Macaca mulatta: one gene and its partners. The protein of the gene in region 3 binds, or shares a complex with, the protein of the main gene of each other region. Links are inferred from orthologs where the notes say so. Each region holds a gene or a part of one and is shown on either strand. Other genes may lie near its edges.

Evidence for each region.
Region 1: the proteins of GDF11 (region 3) and FST are in contact, whole or in part, in a crystal structure (PDB 5JHW), measured with the Homo sapiens proteins. The link is inferred for Macaca mulatta from reciprocal best matches to the Homo sapiens genes GDF11 and FST. Residues at the interface, in NP_005802.1 of Homo sapiens: Asn299, Leu300, Gly301, Leu302, Glu310, Arg312, Asp328, Trp329, Ile331, Ala332, Lys334, Arg335, Tyr336, Lys337, Tyr347, Met348, Phe349, Met350, Pro354, His357, Gln361, Ile380, Asn381, Leu383, Phe385, Asp387, Lys388, Gln389, Gln390, Ile391; in NP_037541.1 of Homo sapiens: Leu34, Arg35, Gln43, Val44, Leu45, Tyr46, Lys47, Thr48, Arg60, Ser62, Asp72, Asn73, Leu75, Phe76, Met79, Ile80, Leu134, Asp135, Arg149, Gln153, Pro154, Glu155, Val180, Val181, Asp182, Gln183, Tyr188, Val190, Thr191, Asn193.
Region 2: the proteins of GDF11 (region 3) and TGFBR1 are in contact, whole or in part, in a crystal structure (PDB 6MAC), measured with the Homo sapiens proteins. The link is inferred for Macaca mulatta from reciprocal best matches to the Homo sapiens genes GDF11 and TGFBR1. Residues at the interface, in NP_005802.1 of Homo sapiens: Phe322, Ala324, Phe325, Gly326, Trp327, Trp329, Ile330, Met382, Tyr384, Phe385, Asn386, Asp387, Ile392, Ile396, Pro397, Met399; in NP_004603.1 of Homo sapiens: Ile78, Pro79, Asp81, Arg82, Phe84, Ala87, Pro88, Ser89, Ser90, Lys91.

What each region holds. Positions count from the first base shown.
Region 1 is NC_133411.1:61,272,870-61,277,563, reverse strand, and holds the start of FST (follistatin), read right to left. Parts: upstream 3,309-4,694; 5' UTR 2,308-3,308; coding exon 2,223-2,307; intron 206-2,222; coding exon 14-205; intron 1-13. UniProt on the Homo sapiens protein: Multifunctional regulatory protein whose primary function is to antagonize members of the transforming growth factor beta (TGF-beta) superfamily including activin, myostatin, GDF11 or bone morphogenetic proteins (BMPs).
Region 2 is NC_133420.1:59,271,808-59,276,062, forward strand, and holds part of TGFBR1 (TGF-beta receptor type-1), read right to left. Parts: intron 3,173-4,255; coding exon 2,930-3,172; intron 1-2,929. UniProt on the Homo sapiens protein: Transmembrane serine/threonine kinase forming with the TGF-beta type II serine/threonine kinase receptor, TGFBR2, the non-promiscuous receptor for the TGF-beta cytokines TGFB1, TGFB2 and TGFB3.
Region 3 is NC_133416.1:62,894,388-62,899,161, forward strand, and holds the start of GDF11 (growth/differentiation factor 11), read left to right. Parts: upstream 1-1,731; 5' UTR 1,732-1,926; coding exon 1,927-2,371; intron 2,372-4,774. UniProt on the Homo sapiens protein: Secreted signal that acts globally to regulate anterior/posterior axial patterning during development. May play critical roles in patterning both mesodermal and neural tissues. It is required for proper vertebral patterning and orofacial development.

The DNA of each region.
Region 1 (4,694 bases), on a different chromosome or scaffold from region 3:
GAAGGAGTCCTACCTTTACAGGGGATGCAGTTGGGGGCTCCCCCGTTGAAAATCATCCACTTGAAGAGTGTGTTGTCATTCACGTCCTCCTCGGTCCATGAGGTGCTCAGACGGCCGGTGCTGCAGCACTCCTCCTTGCTCAGTTCGGTCTTGTACAGGACCTGGCAGCGGCCGTTCTTCGCTTGACGGAGCCAGCAGTTCCCAGCTGTGAAGAGACGGGGTGGGGAGGTGGGTGAGTGAGCAGTGAGCGGTGAGCGGTAGCAAGGCAGGGAGAGCGAGGTGGCGAGGTGGCGAGCGAAGGAGACCTGGCGGGGATGGGGAGGGGGTGAGCGTGGAGGAGGGGAAGTGAGAGAGACGCGGGAGAAAAGTAGGAAATAAATCGAAAGGGGTGGAAGGGTGGATAAAGAAGCGGGGGGGGGGGTGGGGGAAGCCCTGATCACAGAGATGGGAGGTGGGCGAGAGGGAGGGAGGGAGAAAGGGAGAAGACAGGGCGCCCCAGCCATATCAATGTCAGTTACCAGTGACCCAGACACAACACGTGCAGCTTGCACTGACTTTTACTAGACTGTTTACTTTTATTCGTCCCATTTCATAACCTGCAGAGACTCGAAGAGCAGATTAAAGAACCTGACAAAAACAGGATGCGACGTATGTTTTTACATGTTGGTTTCATGTAGGCGGTACAGGAATTATTTGTGACAGGGGTTAAGAAAGTAAGAGAATGAGAGAGAGGAGAGGAGAGGAGAGAGATGGGGGCGGAGAGAGAGAGAGAAGGAAAGAGAAGAAAAGAAAGAGAAAGAAAGGAAGAAAAGAAAGAGAGAGAGAAAGAAAGAAAAGAAAGAAAGAGAGAGAGAGAAACAGATCAAGCAAAAGGCACTTCTGAAAAATGAAAGCAAAAAGCAACCCGGCCCAGCCCGGAGCTACCCCGCGCGGCCTCCAGGCGCAGCCCGCCCGACGGGCCCGTTTTGCAATCTGCCAGACCCGAGCACGCCCGCGGCCACCGCGATCTTTCGAAATCTCCGAGGGCTGCTTTCCTCTGCGCCTACGTCCGGGCACCAGGCAAAGCCTCTCCCCTAAAGGCGGGCAACCCAGCGCAGAGACTTGCAGACGGCGAGGGGCAGTGCCCAGGAGGGCAGTTTACAACATACTTAAAATGTTAACGCTGAAGCAGGGAAAGTAATGCCTTAAGGGGGGTGGGGGAGGAGGCTTCCTACCATTTCACGGTTATATGTACCTATCTCATACCTAGCAAGAAGTATTTGCAAGTGATTTCTCCCTCTTCCCCCTTTTTAATGTTCGCATTTGGGTCGGTAAGACTTCTCATTAATCACCAATAAGACTTTAACAATCATTGGATCGCAAGCTGCTATTATTATTTTAAACATTCTGCCCAAAGACTAATTGAAAATAAACAAATCTATTTTTAAAAGGCAAGCTTCAGAAATTTGCTCTTAACCCATTTCAGAATTTAAGTCAGTTATGGGCTGCTCACTGTTTTACAGAAAGCTAAGAGTCAGAAAGAAGAATGAAGCAGAGGGGAAAAAAACTCAAAGTGCTCAAAGCACTTTGGGGTAATAATTTGGCTTTTCTTTTTTCTTTCTTTTTTTTTTTGCGAGTATGGGGGATGGGGTTGGAAGAAGCATCCACTAGGCAGAAAGCTAATTCCCTTCAAAATTTTCAGCACCCACATTTCCAAGTTTGGGCAAAGTTTCTGAAACTACGTCCCCCAGTCACCAAAGAAATTCAGTATCTGTCCCCCAACCCCCCAGGTTTTCTTTTCTTTCTTTCTTTTTTCTTTTTCTTTCTTTCTTTTTTTTAAGTATCCAAAAGATGTGGCAGGGAGAGAGATGAGACTGCAAATGGGTCGACTGAAATCTCCAGGCTACTACTGATACTTGTTCTCCTTCTTCAGAGCCAAACTGAGGAGATCACATCTAAAGTTATCATGGCCAGAACTTTAGATCTGCCAGAGCATCTAACCCTAACTACTAAGACCCCAGCTCGCTCCCTTTCCTTTTTCAAGATAACCGAGCTCCAAACTCCGTTTCCAGTCCTAAAGTGTCTTTGCCCACAATTTTCCCACTCCTCTCCATCCCGTAGTCCCCAAGTTGGTCCAACATCTTCCGAGAGCAGCGTTGCTCAGAACAGACCAAGTGGAGACCACAGAAAAGTCGACCCTCTGCTCTCAGCCGAGCCTCCCCAGCGCATCCCCCCTCGCTTACCCTGGGCACTGCGGTCCTCCATGAACTGGCAGAGCAGTAGCAGCAGGAGGCAAAGCCCACCCGGCTGGTGCCTTGCGCGGACCATCCTGGGGGCAGGCGCGGGGCGAGGAGCGCTGCGGCGCGGGGAGCCGGCGCGGCGGCGGGTGGCTCGGAAGAGCGGCGCGCGTCGCAGAGGCCAGCGGCGGAGGGCGCAGCGATCCTGGCGCAGCCCCGCGCTCGCCGCCGGCCGCCCGCGCGATTCAATGGACGTCAGAAGCCGGGCGCAGCCGCGCTTTAAATCTAGACGGGGGTCTCCGCGGTTTGCGGTGGGCGGTCTCCCAGTGTGTGGGGCTGTGGGAGGGCGGCCGCGAGCGAGGGTGTGCGCGGCTCCTTGGGGGTGGGGAGCTTTTAAAAGTTCAGTGTGAATCAGGTGACATTTCCCACCTTCTGGAAACCCTTCCCAATTATCTTTCGGAGATGCCCGAAATCAAAACGGCTGGAGGGGAATCGGCGAGTTCTTATTTGCGTAGGAGCGAGAGGGAGGGGGAAGGCGACCGGGGCGGGGGTTGGGGGCGACGCGTCGGGGGTGGGGAGTGGGGAAGAACACCCACTTCAAGTCCTGCTCGCCGCCGCTCGCCGGCAGCGCCGGCGCGCCCGGGGTGGCGGGTGTGTGTGTGAGTGTGTGTGCGCGCGCGAGTGTGAGAGGGAGGGCGCGGTGGGGGCGCTGGAGGCGGCGGCGGGGGAAGCGGGGGAACCCGGGAGTTTGTCTCCGTGCTGCCTCTCCTCCGCTCCAAAGAGACTTTGCAAACGCCCGGAGAGCCCCAGGCTGCCCAAATATCCCGACCCAGGTCGGGTCGGAGCGCGTCGGCCTCGCGGCGGTTCCGGGCACCCGCAGCCTGGGCGCAGGACCCGCGAGGTTTTGTGTCTGCGTCTGTGCGTGCCTGACTTTGCGGCCACCCCTAGCCCAGAGGTGTTGCTAGGAACCCCGGCCCCGGCACCTTCCACCCTGGCAGAGCGCTGCCGAGACGCGGCCCTTGGTCTGGGAGAGTCAGAAGCAAACAAAAATGTTTAACACCTCAGGCCCGGTCTCCCCACCCCCCCCACCCCCGGCACAGCCTCGCCCTCTCCCTTTCTTTTCTCCCCTTTCACTTCGCGGCGTCTGGAGTCGGAGCCTGGAGCGGGGGCGCCGACGTAGGCGGTCTGGCCCCCCTCCTTCCTCCCCGGCCTGGAGACTCCCCAGTTTCTGTCCTGTGTGCCTCTGTCTGTCTCTCAGTCTCCTCGGCTCCAATCTCTCTCTCTCTCTCTCTCTCTCTCTCTCTCTCTCTCTCTCTCTCTCTCTCTCTCTCTCTCCCCCCTTCTCTCTTTTCGCAGAATAAAAAAGATTGCAACATCCATAATGAACTTCTGTAGCCTCACTTTATTAAGTACAGTGCCTGGCATTCTTCGCTGAAAGTTGGCGGGTCTCTCATTTATAACATTTTTGGCACCGCTGAATGAAACTGAGGAGGCGATATTTCCTTTTATATAAAACGATTACTTCACGGAAAATGCTATATTGTTTATTCCAAAGCTGCCTTTTAAATTTTTGTTCTTTTCGCTTCTGAAGCCCGAAGGCCAACAGACAGCGAAGTATGCAGACAAAATTCTTGGACATTCGCAGGTCACTGGGATTTGTTCTACGAATTTCAAATCCGCCCTTCTTCCCCCATCAACCCCCTGTAACTCCCCTCCCCCCGCAGACCCTCCCCCAGTCCTCCTCTCGCCCTCCCACCCCCCATCTTCCATCAACCTTCCCCCCTCCACAACTGCAAATAACTCAGTGATAACAGATTTTTTTCCACCAACTGCAGGAGATAGTGCTAATCTTTTAATAAAAGATCCCATTACAATGGGATCTGTCTGGACAGACTATAATAGATCCCGAAATACAGCCGTGCTAATATTAGAAGACAGTTGTTTGGGTGCCTCTCAGACGGGCCCAAGCCCCCCTTTGAAAGTGGGCATGAATCACAAAGCCCCGCGGCCGCCGCACCTGCACCGCGCGCATTCGGTGCAGCAGGCTGGTAAAAACGGGTGACCTCGCCGCCGCTTTTCGCTTTATAATTACCGTCGTGAGGACGGGAGGGGAGGGGGCTCGGGCGGCCCGGGAGAGGCTGTCTTTTTGCTCACTTCAGACGGCTGTGGGGGCTCCACATCCTTCTTAATCTTTCCGGAATCATTCTCTGTTTCTATCTCGCTGTCTCTTTCCCCTTCTCCCTTTCCCTCCAGTCCTCCCAGCCATTCCCTCCGGTCTCTTTCCCCTACTCCTTCCCCTCTTCTCTCCTTCCCTCCCTCTACCCGGACTCTACCCGTACTCTCCCTCCCTTTTCTCCCTCTCTTTCTTTTCCAGTCTCCTTTTCTCTCTTCCCTCCAACTCATTAATGTAGAGTTGTTTAGTGCCCTCTAATGGCAGACGACATTAACAATTAATAGCAAACTGTCCCCTTTGCAGGA
Region 2 (4,255 bases), on a different chromosome or scaffold from region 3:
GAAACAGGGACTCCACAGCTTCACATGCAGTGAACCGGAAATAAGACCTGAACAACATGCATATATTACAAGAGCTCGTAAGCTGCACAAGCTATAACGACACTGGCCTAGAAGACTCACTATCAAAAGCTGGCACATATGCACATGTGCACATTCACACACTTGGGATACAGCTGCCAGAACCCAACTCTTCATTGTATTCCCTGAAGTACCCAAGTTAAAAGCACTGTCTTTAGAGGTAGAGATAGGGCCTTTCCTTAATTATGGTCACGGTACTGAGTAATGAACACATGAATTCAGAATGTGAAACGCTTATACCTTTTCCTCAATTAACAAAAGAACTAAAACCAAGTATTATAAACACACAGTTTACTTACTCACAGGCACTACTCTCATGCCTAAGGTGGCATTAAGGATTTATAATGAATAGAAGGGAAACAGATGGCATTTTCTGCTATTATTCACCAGAAGATGGCTTCTGCCTAGATAGGTTTGTAGAGAATTCAGTACACAATGAACTATGACAGGTAAAGGAGGCCTTAAACTAAGTTTTGTACAATGTAGTCAACTGATAATGTATGTTAGATTTTTCTTCCAAGTATGTTTTCAATAAGAGCAACACTTGTCATTTGGACATAACTTCACAATTTACCAAGCGCTTTCATGCCAACATTTTGTCTTGCTTGAACTCACAACAACCCAATGATGTGCACAAAGCAGACTCCATCACTTTCATTTTAAAGATGAAATAACTCAAGCATGAGACATTGGTTAACTGCCCAAAGCTACAGAGCTAGCAAGCAATGCAGACAAGTTTTTGCAGGGTAAGTCATAAAAAGAGGGAGAGAAGCTTTCAGAGAACAGAGAGCTATGGTCCCTCATGGATCTAGAAATATATATATATATATATATAATGGAAACAGAATTATTCTGTTCTTTTTCATGTTTATCTCTTAAAAGGTTAATGAAGATATTCTTATTCAGTAATCAACTATCACCCACCCACCAATTCCTTTAATCAATTAGGTGGGCTTATTCCACTGTGGCAAGTGGCATGAGCTGCTCTCTTTCCGGAGTGTAAGTTTAGAAACAAGACAACAGGTCTGAGGCATTAATTCCAAATGATCTGAAGCCATCCTGATTTTCTGTGACTCTGGTCCTTGATTATCACAGTCTTGAGCAGGATTACTTCTAGAATGAACAAAATCTTTTTGAAGATCTGAACTGAGAATAAATGGGAAGTCCCAGGAAAGCTCTAAAATAACCTCCGTCCACCACTCCTGCCCAAAGACTATCACACCTTCAGTACTAAGATGGCTCCATCTAAGTCCGAACTCTCATTGTCTTCCTTACACAACTGTTTCAGGAATCCCTAAGCTTGCCTTCTGATCTGAGCTCCAGTGCAAGCCTGTATGTGTCCTAGTAGTCAAAGAGAGAGTTCTCTTATTGAATACATACGGCCAAATTCTACAGAAGAATAATTCAGGTAATAAAATCAGTTTCTTAAATGAATAGATATGCATACATAACAATATATATTCATTTCCTTAAAATAAATAGACATTTGTCATTATATGAGCTTTCTGCAACATTAGATGTGATTTTATGCTCAATTTCTGCTTTAATATTCCTTTAATATCACTCAGTTATAAAATTAGTGAATTTTTTTTTTGAGATGGAGTCTCACTCTATTGCCCAGGCTGGAGTGCAGTGGCACGATCTCAGCTAATTGCAACCTCCACCTCCCAGGTTCAGGCGAGTCTCCTGCCTCAGCCTCCCGAGTAGCTGGGACTACAGGCGCATGCCACTATGCCCGGCTAATTTTTTTGTATTCTTAGTAGAGATGGGGTTTCACCAAAATTAGTGAAATTTTCACTATATACGCTTTCCAAATTTTCACTTTATTCATGAATTTAGCCCTTATTTAAAGACGACTCATACTTTTCAAAGGATAGTATATCTCATTTAAAAGTCTTAACAAACCACTTGAAGTGTTTTTATCAGCAGTATGGGTTCCATATTTTTGATGAGGAAACAGAAGCCCAAAGAGGAAACATGTTTTAACCAAGGTTATACAGCCAATCAGCAACAAAACTTGCCTTGGAACCTAGATCTATTTATCCTTAGCCAAGTGTCAAATTCTAAAAACACAGGGGATAGGAGTGTTCCTCTCTTAATACTTTTCCAAACCATATACAAAAAAAAGTAGAAGATAACGCCCCTTCAGTTTAAACATGAAGCACTGCTATGCCAAAATCCACCTTGGGATGACTCTGACAATTAGCTCATCTACTTCTGATGCCACAAATATCAACAAATAGAACTGGGAAAAGCAAATCTCATTAGGGGCCAAAACTACATTAAATAAGAAGGTGATTAGACATTTTTCTGAAGTGAGAAAATGACGTAAGAGTTCATTAGTTTAATTTTAAAAAACCAGGCCTATACAAAAGACAATTTCATATAATGTTTAAAAAGCAAATAACCTTCACAATTCTGAATAAATTTTTATCATGCCTGTTTTCAAATATAAACATCAGGCTGCTAAACAATCCTGAATAGAACGGGTTAGTTGCAGATCATTTGAACATCTTTGAACTTCGGTTTCATCCATATGAGAATAATTGTTCTTATCCTTTCTACCTCACAGTGATGAAAAGCAAATTAGATCATACAAGTGAGAACGCTTTGAAATTTATACCACCGGAGCTGACTGACTTGCTTTATCAGTTAAAGTAAGTTCCAATCTATTTTAAACCAGCCACAGTCATATACACATCAAGCTTAAAGATTTTTATTAGTTTCAAACCTGGAATATTATTTATATTATCTCACATTCTAACAAGTTGGCTTATTAGCAAACTAATAAAATAAGTATCACTTAATTTTAAAAAGACGTCTTAGGAAAAAGGAGAAACAATTACATTACCTGAGCCAGAACCTGATGTTGTCATATCATAAATTAAGTCTTTCAACGTAGTACCCTCTGAAATAAAAGGACGATCTAATGAAGGGTCCTCTTCATTTGGCACTCGATGGTGAATGACAGTGCGGTTGTGGCAGATATACACCATCAACATGAGTGAGATGCAGACAAAGCACACTGGTCCAGCAATGACAGCTGCCAGTTCCACGGGACCAAGGCCAGGTGATGACTTTACTGAAAAAGGGCCTTGAGTGAAATAAACATCAACAACAACAAAAACACTGTAGGTGGCAACCCCCATTTTCCTAATCCTACACAATTGCTGCAGCTGGCCACTGCCACCACATAGCCAAAGAGCCTCATTACAGCAGTTTATAGGGCTCAAACCCAGAACAAGTGAATCATTCAGTCTTCTCCTACTAGGCCTCCTTTCATGCACACCAGCTCTGTCAGCACCCACTTACTCCTTCTGTACTCTTCAGCCATCATTACAAGGCCAGCTGCTACCAATATCATAGTACCTTCCCCACTTATCACATCAGGTCAGTAATACCAATAACTTGTAACAATACCCATTAACGTCTCCTTAAAAATCATATATATTTTTAAAAGTGTGTTTGACTTGTCTTCTTGTTCCAAGGCCAGTACATGCTCATAGCAGGAAAAACAAACAAAAATATCAAAACAAACAAACAAACACACACATACATCTTCATCACTCCCAAACAACTCACATTTTAGTATTTATATCTCCACCAATTTTTTTTTTTTTTTTTTTGAGACAGAGTTTCACTCTTGTTGCCCAGGTTGGAGTATAGTGGTATGATGTTGGCTCACTGCAACCTCCGCCTCCCGGGTTCAAGCAGTTCTCCTGCCTGAGCCTCTCAGGTAGCTGGGATTACAGGCATGTGCCACCATACCTGGTTAATTTTTGTATCTTAGTAGAGACAGGTTTCACCATGTTGCTCAAGGCTAGTCTCGAACTCCTGACCTCAAGTGATTCACTCACTTTGGCTTCCCAAAGTGCTGGGATTACAGGCATGAGCCGTGCCCAGCCAATAGCTCCACCAATTTTTTAAAGGCAGAACATATCTTTTTTTTTTTTTTTTTTAACAGAGTTTGCATACTTTTTATTCTATCTTAACCTGAACTTTTAAGTCCAGATCATTTTCTTGTAACTTCCATTAATAATTAAAATTTTCTGGTTGTTTCAGAAAATTACAATTATTCTGACATTCATCCTGAGCCTTGCTGGTTTACTACTTACCACCATTTCTTTCATACCACATCTTTCCCATTCTTGAGATCTTCAGTAGATTAATCTCTTAT
Region 3 (4,774 bases):
CAAACATTTTCTTTTTTCTTTTTTTTTTTTTTTTTGAGACGGAGTGTCTCTCTGTCGCCCAGGCTGGAGTGCAGTGGCACCATCTGCCATCTCAGGTCACTGCAAGCTCCGCCTCCCCGGTTCACGCCATTCCCCTGCCTCAGCCTCCCCAGCAGTTGGGACTACAGGCGCCCGCCACCACGCCCGTCCAATTTTTTGTATTTTTAGTAAAGACAGTGTTTCACTGTGTTAGCCAGGATGGTCTCGATCCCCTCACCTCGTGATCCACCCGCCTCGGCCTCCCAAAGTGCTGGGATTACAGGCATAAGCCACCGTACCCAGCGTGACCCAAACATTTTCGATTTGACTATTGCTCCAGGGCTTTCAGATCCAGAAATAAGCCTGGAAAACCTGAAGTCAGAAGTTAAGCACCTTCAAAACAGTTTTTCACCTTAGTACTGTTCTACTCTGCTCTCTGGCTGTGTCCAGGGTCACACCTGAAGACTAGGGCTGGTCCCACATCTGTATTTCATCTCGTGCATCTGAGCGCAGACTTCTCTCCCATGCTCACCCTTGCAACCTCCATCCCCTTCTCAGACTTCTCAGACCCTGCAGATCCAAAGATATAGCTAGAAATCCAGAAATCCAGATTTCTCCTCAAGTATAGCAGCCTCCAGCCATCTCCTTCCCACCCCTCCCCCAGTGGCCTCTAGCTCCTGCCTTTTCCAGCCAGCTGACTCCCTTAGCCCTGTTAAGCCCCAATTTCAAGCTCAGTCTTCCCAGCTCTATGTCTTCCCTCTGTTTCAGTTCTTCCCATCACCTCTCCACCTTCTTAGGTTGTCCCTGACCTCTTCCTCTCCTAGTCCCCTTAATCCCTCTGATGAGCCTAGCCTGATGCTTCCTTCCACGGCTTCTTTGAGCATCTTCTTTGGGCTACCTCTGATGGCTAGAGCTCCTCTGGTCTCAAGTTCTCCACCTCTGTCCCCTGGGCTCTCCGTGCTCCCACCGAGGCTGACTCTTGTGGCTCCTTCTCTCAGGAGTTTCTGCCTTTCCTCTCCCCCACCCCCAATCCCCTGCACCTACCTCCTCAGGGGCTCCCTTGGTATCTCCCTGTCTGTGCCCCTCTCTCTCCTCCCCAATCCTGATTTCTCTCCCCACCTCTCTTTCCCAGGGCACTCCTCTGTCCTGTGTTCCTCTGCCCCTGTTCCCATCTCCATGACCCCCGATCTCTTGTGGTCTGGCTCTGTAGACCTCTGTCTCCCCCCGTCTAGTGGTACCCCTCTTCTCCCCATTTTTGTCTCCACTCTAACTCTCCCACTAGTTGTCCCAGTCTTTCTCCTCCTTGGTTCTGTGTCTCCCACAGACACACTATTTCCCTCTCTAGCTAAGTCTCTCACCTCTGCATCTTCCCCCTGACTCTTCTTTTCCTCCTTTGTCTCTCCCTCTCTCCTCCTCCTCCTTTTCCTATCTCTGTCTCGTCCCCCTTTTTCTCTCTGATTCTCCTTGGTCTCTCTGGCTCTGACTTTCCCCTATATCCGCCCCCCCCCCGCCCCCTCATATCTCTGTCTCTTCATCTCTCTCTGGCCCTTGCTCCCTCACTCCCTCCCTCTCTCTATTCCTCGGATCTCTCCGGCTCCCTCTCTCGCCTCGGATGACAGCGCTGCCTCTTTTGTTGGCTCCGCAGCCAATCGCGGCCGCTGACGACACGGGGGCCGGGGCTATAAAGGGCCTGGCCCGGGCTCGGGCCCCCCCAGCCGCCCGCCCCGGCCGCCCGCCCGCCCCGCCCGCGCGCCCGCCGCCCCCGGCCCCCCGGGTCCCCCCTCGGCCGGGCAGCCCCCAATCCCGCGCCGCCCGGACCCCCTCCTCCTCCCTCCCTCCTCCCTCCGCCCCCTCCCCGCGGGACTCCGGCGTCCCCGCCCCCCAGTCCTCCCTCCCCTCCCCTCCAGCATGGTGCTCGCGGCCCCGCTGCTGCTGGGCTTCCTGCTCCTCGCCCTGGAGCTGCGGCCCCGGGGGGAGGCGGCCGAGGGCCCCGCGGCGGCGGCGGCGGCGGCGGCGGCGGCGGCAGCGGCGGGGGTCGGGGGGGAGCGCTCTAGCCGGCCAGCCCCGTCCGTGGCGCCCGAGCCGGACGGCTGCCCCGTGTGCGTGTGGCGGCAGCACAGCCGCGAGCTGCGCCTAGAGAGCATCAAGTCGCAGATCTTGAGCAAACTGCGGCTCAAGGAGGCGCCCAACATCAGCCGCGAGGTGGTGAAGCAGCTGCTGCCCAAGGCGCCGCCGCTGCAGCAGATCCTGGACCTACACGACTTCCAGGGCGACGCGCTGCAGCCCGAGGACTTCCTGGAGGAGGACGAGTACCACGCCACCACCGAGACCGTCATTAGCATGGCCCAGGAGAGTAAGTGGGCTGCGGGGCGCGAGCAGTGGGGTGCTGGCTCTGGCCCCGCGATGGGCGCCTTCTGCTCCAAGCGGGGCGCTCCCTGCTGCCCCGGCCCGGAAGCTTTTCCTGCGAAAACTTGACGAATTAGGGAGCGGGGGCTACTTCATAGAAGTTTTTCGAGCGATGGAGATGGGCTGCAAAGTTGTATGCACGCCCAGTTTCCGGAGGTTGGGGCGGGGGGAAATGGGGCGGGTTTCGAGATACTGCCTTCCACCCCCAGTATGCGAAAAAGACCGTTGTTGGAGTCCGGGGAAGCTGGGGCTGGGCAGCGACTCTGTCCTGAAGAGCCGTGGCTGGGAGGCTGGAGAACAGAATCGGGAGGCTGCAGGACCCCCGCAGCCCCAGCTGGACTGCAGTGCTCCCTGCCTCCCAGTGGCCCTGGCGCTAACTCCCCACTCCGTGCTCCTTTCGCAGCGTGCCCACTCGGCTGCAGAGAACTGTGTGCTCTCTCCCAAGAATAGGGTCCCAGAGCCTGTACACCTCCTGGCAACCCAGCTGGCACCCTTTCCATCCTGAGCCTTGTCTCAGACCGGGTATCCGAAGGGGTGGAAAAGCTGTGCCTTCTTGATACTGACCGAGCTCAGAGAACTCAACTCCATTGCGCTGGGGGCTAAGGACACTCATTGGCTACTCAAACCTTAGTGTTCCATCCCTTATTTGCCCGCCCCTACCGCAGCTGGACTTGAGAGAGAGGAAGACCTAGGAAAAAAGAGAAAGAATAGATGGGGGAGCGGGAACCCAGGCATCCGAGCCCCTGACCAAACGGAAGATGAACATATATAATAGACATGAGCTGCTTTGAAATTTTATGACCTGGAAAATCCAGGCGAATACTACACCCGTCCCCCCACCCCCGCCCTTTCCAGCTCTCCCTAGGGTCAGGTGACTCCTTCTCCTCCTCCCCCACTGAGGTCTCCCCCCTCCCCAACTACAGGGAACCAGGCCTCTCTTATTCCCTAGTGGTTTGGCAAGGTTCCCCCCTTCCCACAGCCCCCTGCAACACACACAGAGTTTGGTTTTATGGCTGTGAACAGAAGACGGGGGAGACTGGTTTATTGGCAGATGGGTCATAAAAAGCTGGGGGCTGAGGGGAGTCCCAGTGGCCCACCCCCATGGGAGAGGCACAGGAACCCAGGTGTGCATCTGGGAGGCTGAGTGCCTCACACTGCCCCTGGTATTTCTGCAGACCTCTCAATTCCACAATACTTGGTCGGGGCTGTTAAGCTCAAAGAACCAGGAAACTAACTGGCTGTGGGGGTGGGAGGCATGGGGATCTGGTCTCGGGTTCCTCAGTTTCCCTTCTATTCTTAAGGCTTCTGCTTATGGAAGCTAGTAGGATCAGTCTCAGATCGACTGAGGGTAGGGGGTGGGGTTTCTAGGAAACAGAGTTATAGAGGAATTCAGATCAAGAGTTTGCTGGAAGATGAAGGTTACAGAGGGAAAAGATACTCTAGTCTATGTGGTGTAGTGTGTGTGAAGATTTCCAGGATGGGTGATGGGGCTGTGGACTTCCCCTTGCCCCTAAATATCCTTAGCATCCCTTAACCAACAGGCCCGAGCCCACCAGAGTTAGCTCTGGCAATGGGAATACACGAAATGAAGGGACCCTGCCTACATGAGTTGGGCTGTGCAGGTGAGGCCTGGGTGGGTGGGGAGGGGACACTAGCTGGTGGGATCCCATCCCAACTTCCACTCTGGTGCCACCCCAGGACTTGTGCAAGTAGGGAACTGGGTCTCCGGCCAGGTATTGTACGTCCCCTTTAAGAGCCTAGCTGAGCTCTTAAGAGAGGGAGGGGGAGTGGAGGGGAGGGGAGGGGAGGGAGAGAGGGGAAAAGGAAAAAGAGACTTTTATAGTCTAATCCCCAGGGACCCGCTTTAATAAGAGACTTGTGCTCTGCTAATCGGGGGAGGTGTTTGTCAGCAGAGATGGCCTCCGTTCCCCTCCCCCTCCCTCCCCTCCCCCAGCCCTCAACCCTGGACCCCAGCCCCCACCTCTCCTAGGCTGCTCTGCCTGCCCTAGTTCCCTCTACCCTCTCAGGCTCTCCCACCGAGCCTTCATCCTGGGAACCCAGCCCCCTGCCCTTCTGGGAGCCAAGCCCAGCCCCTGAGTTTCTCTCCTCCCCACACCAAGAGGCCCCTGCCCTCTCAGCCCAACCTCCTGCCCTTAGGCCTTCCAGCCATGGTTGGGAGTGTGTGTGTTGGGGGGGGTTAGGGTAGGGGGAAGGGGAGGTGGTGTGCAGGGAGGGGGTTGGGCATTTGCTGAAAATAGTGCAGTGACCTCTCTCTCCCACCAGCGCCGCCTACTAAACCTGACCTGCTGCCTGCCACCAGCCCGATCAATTCAACACAGATGTGGCCCCT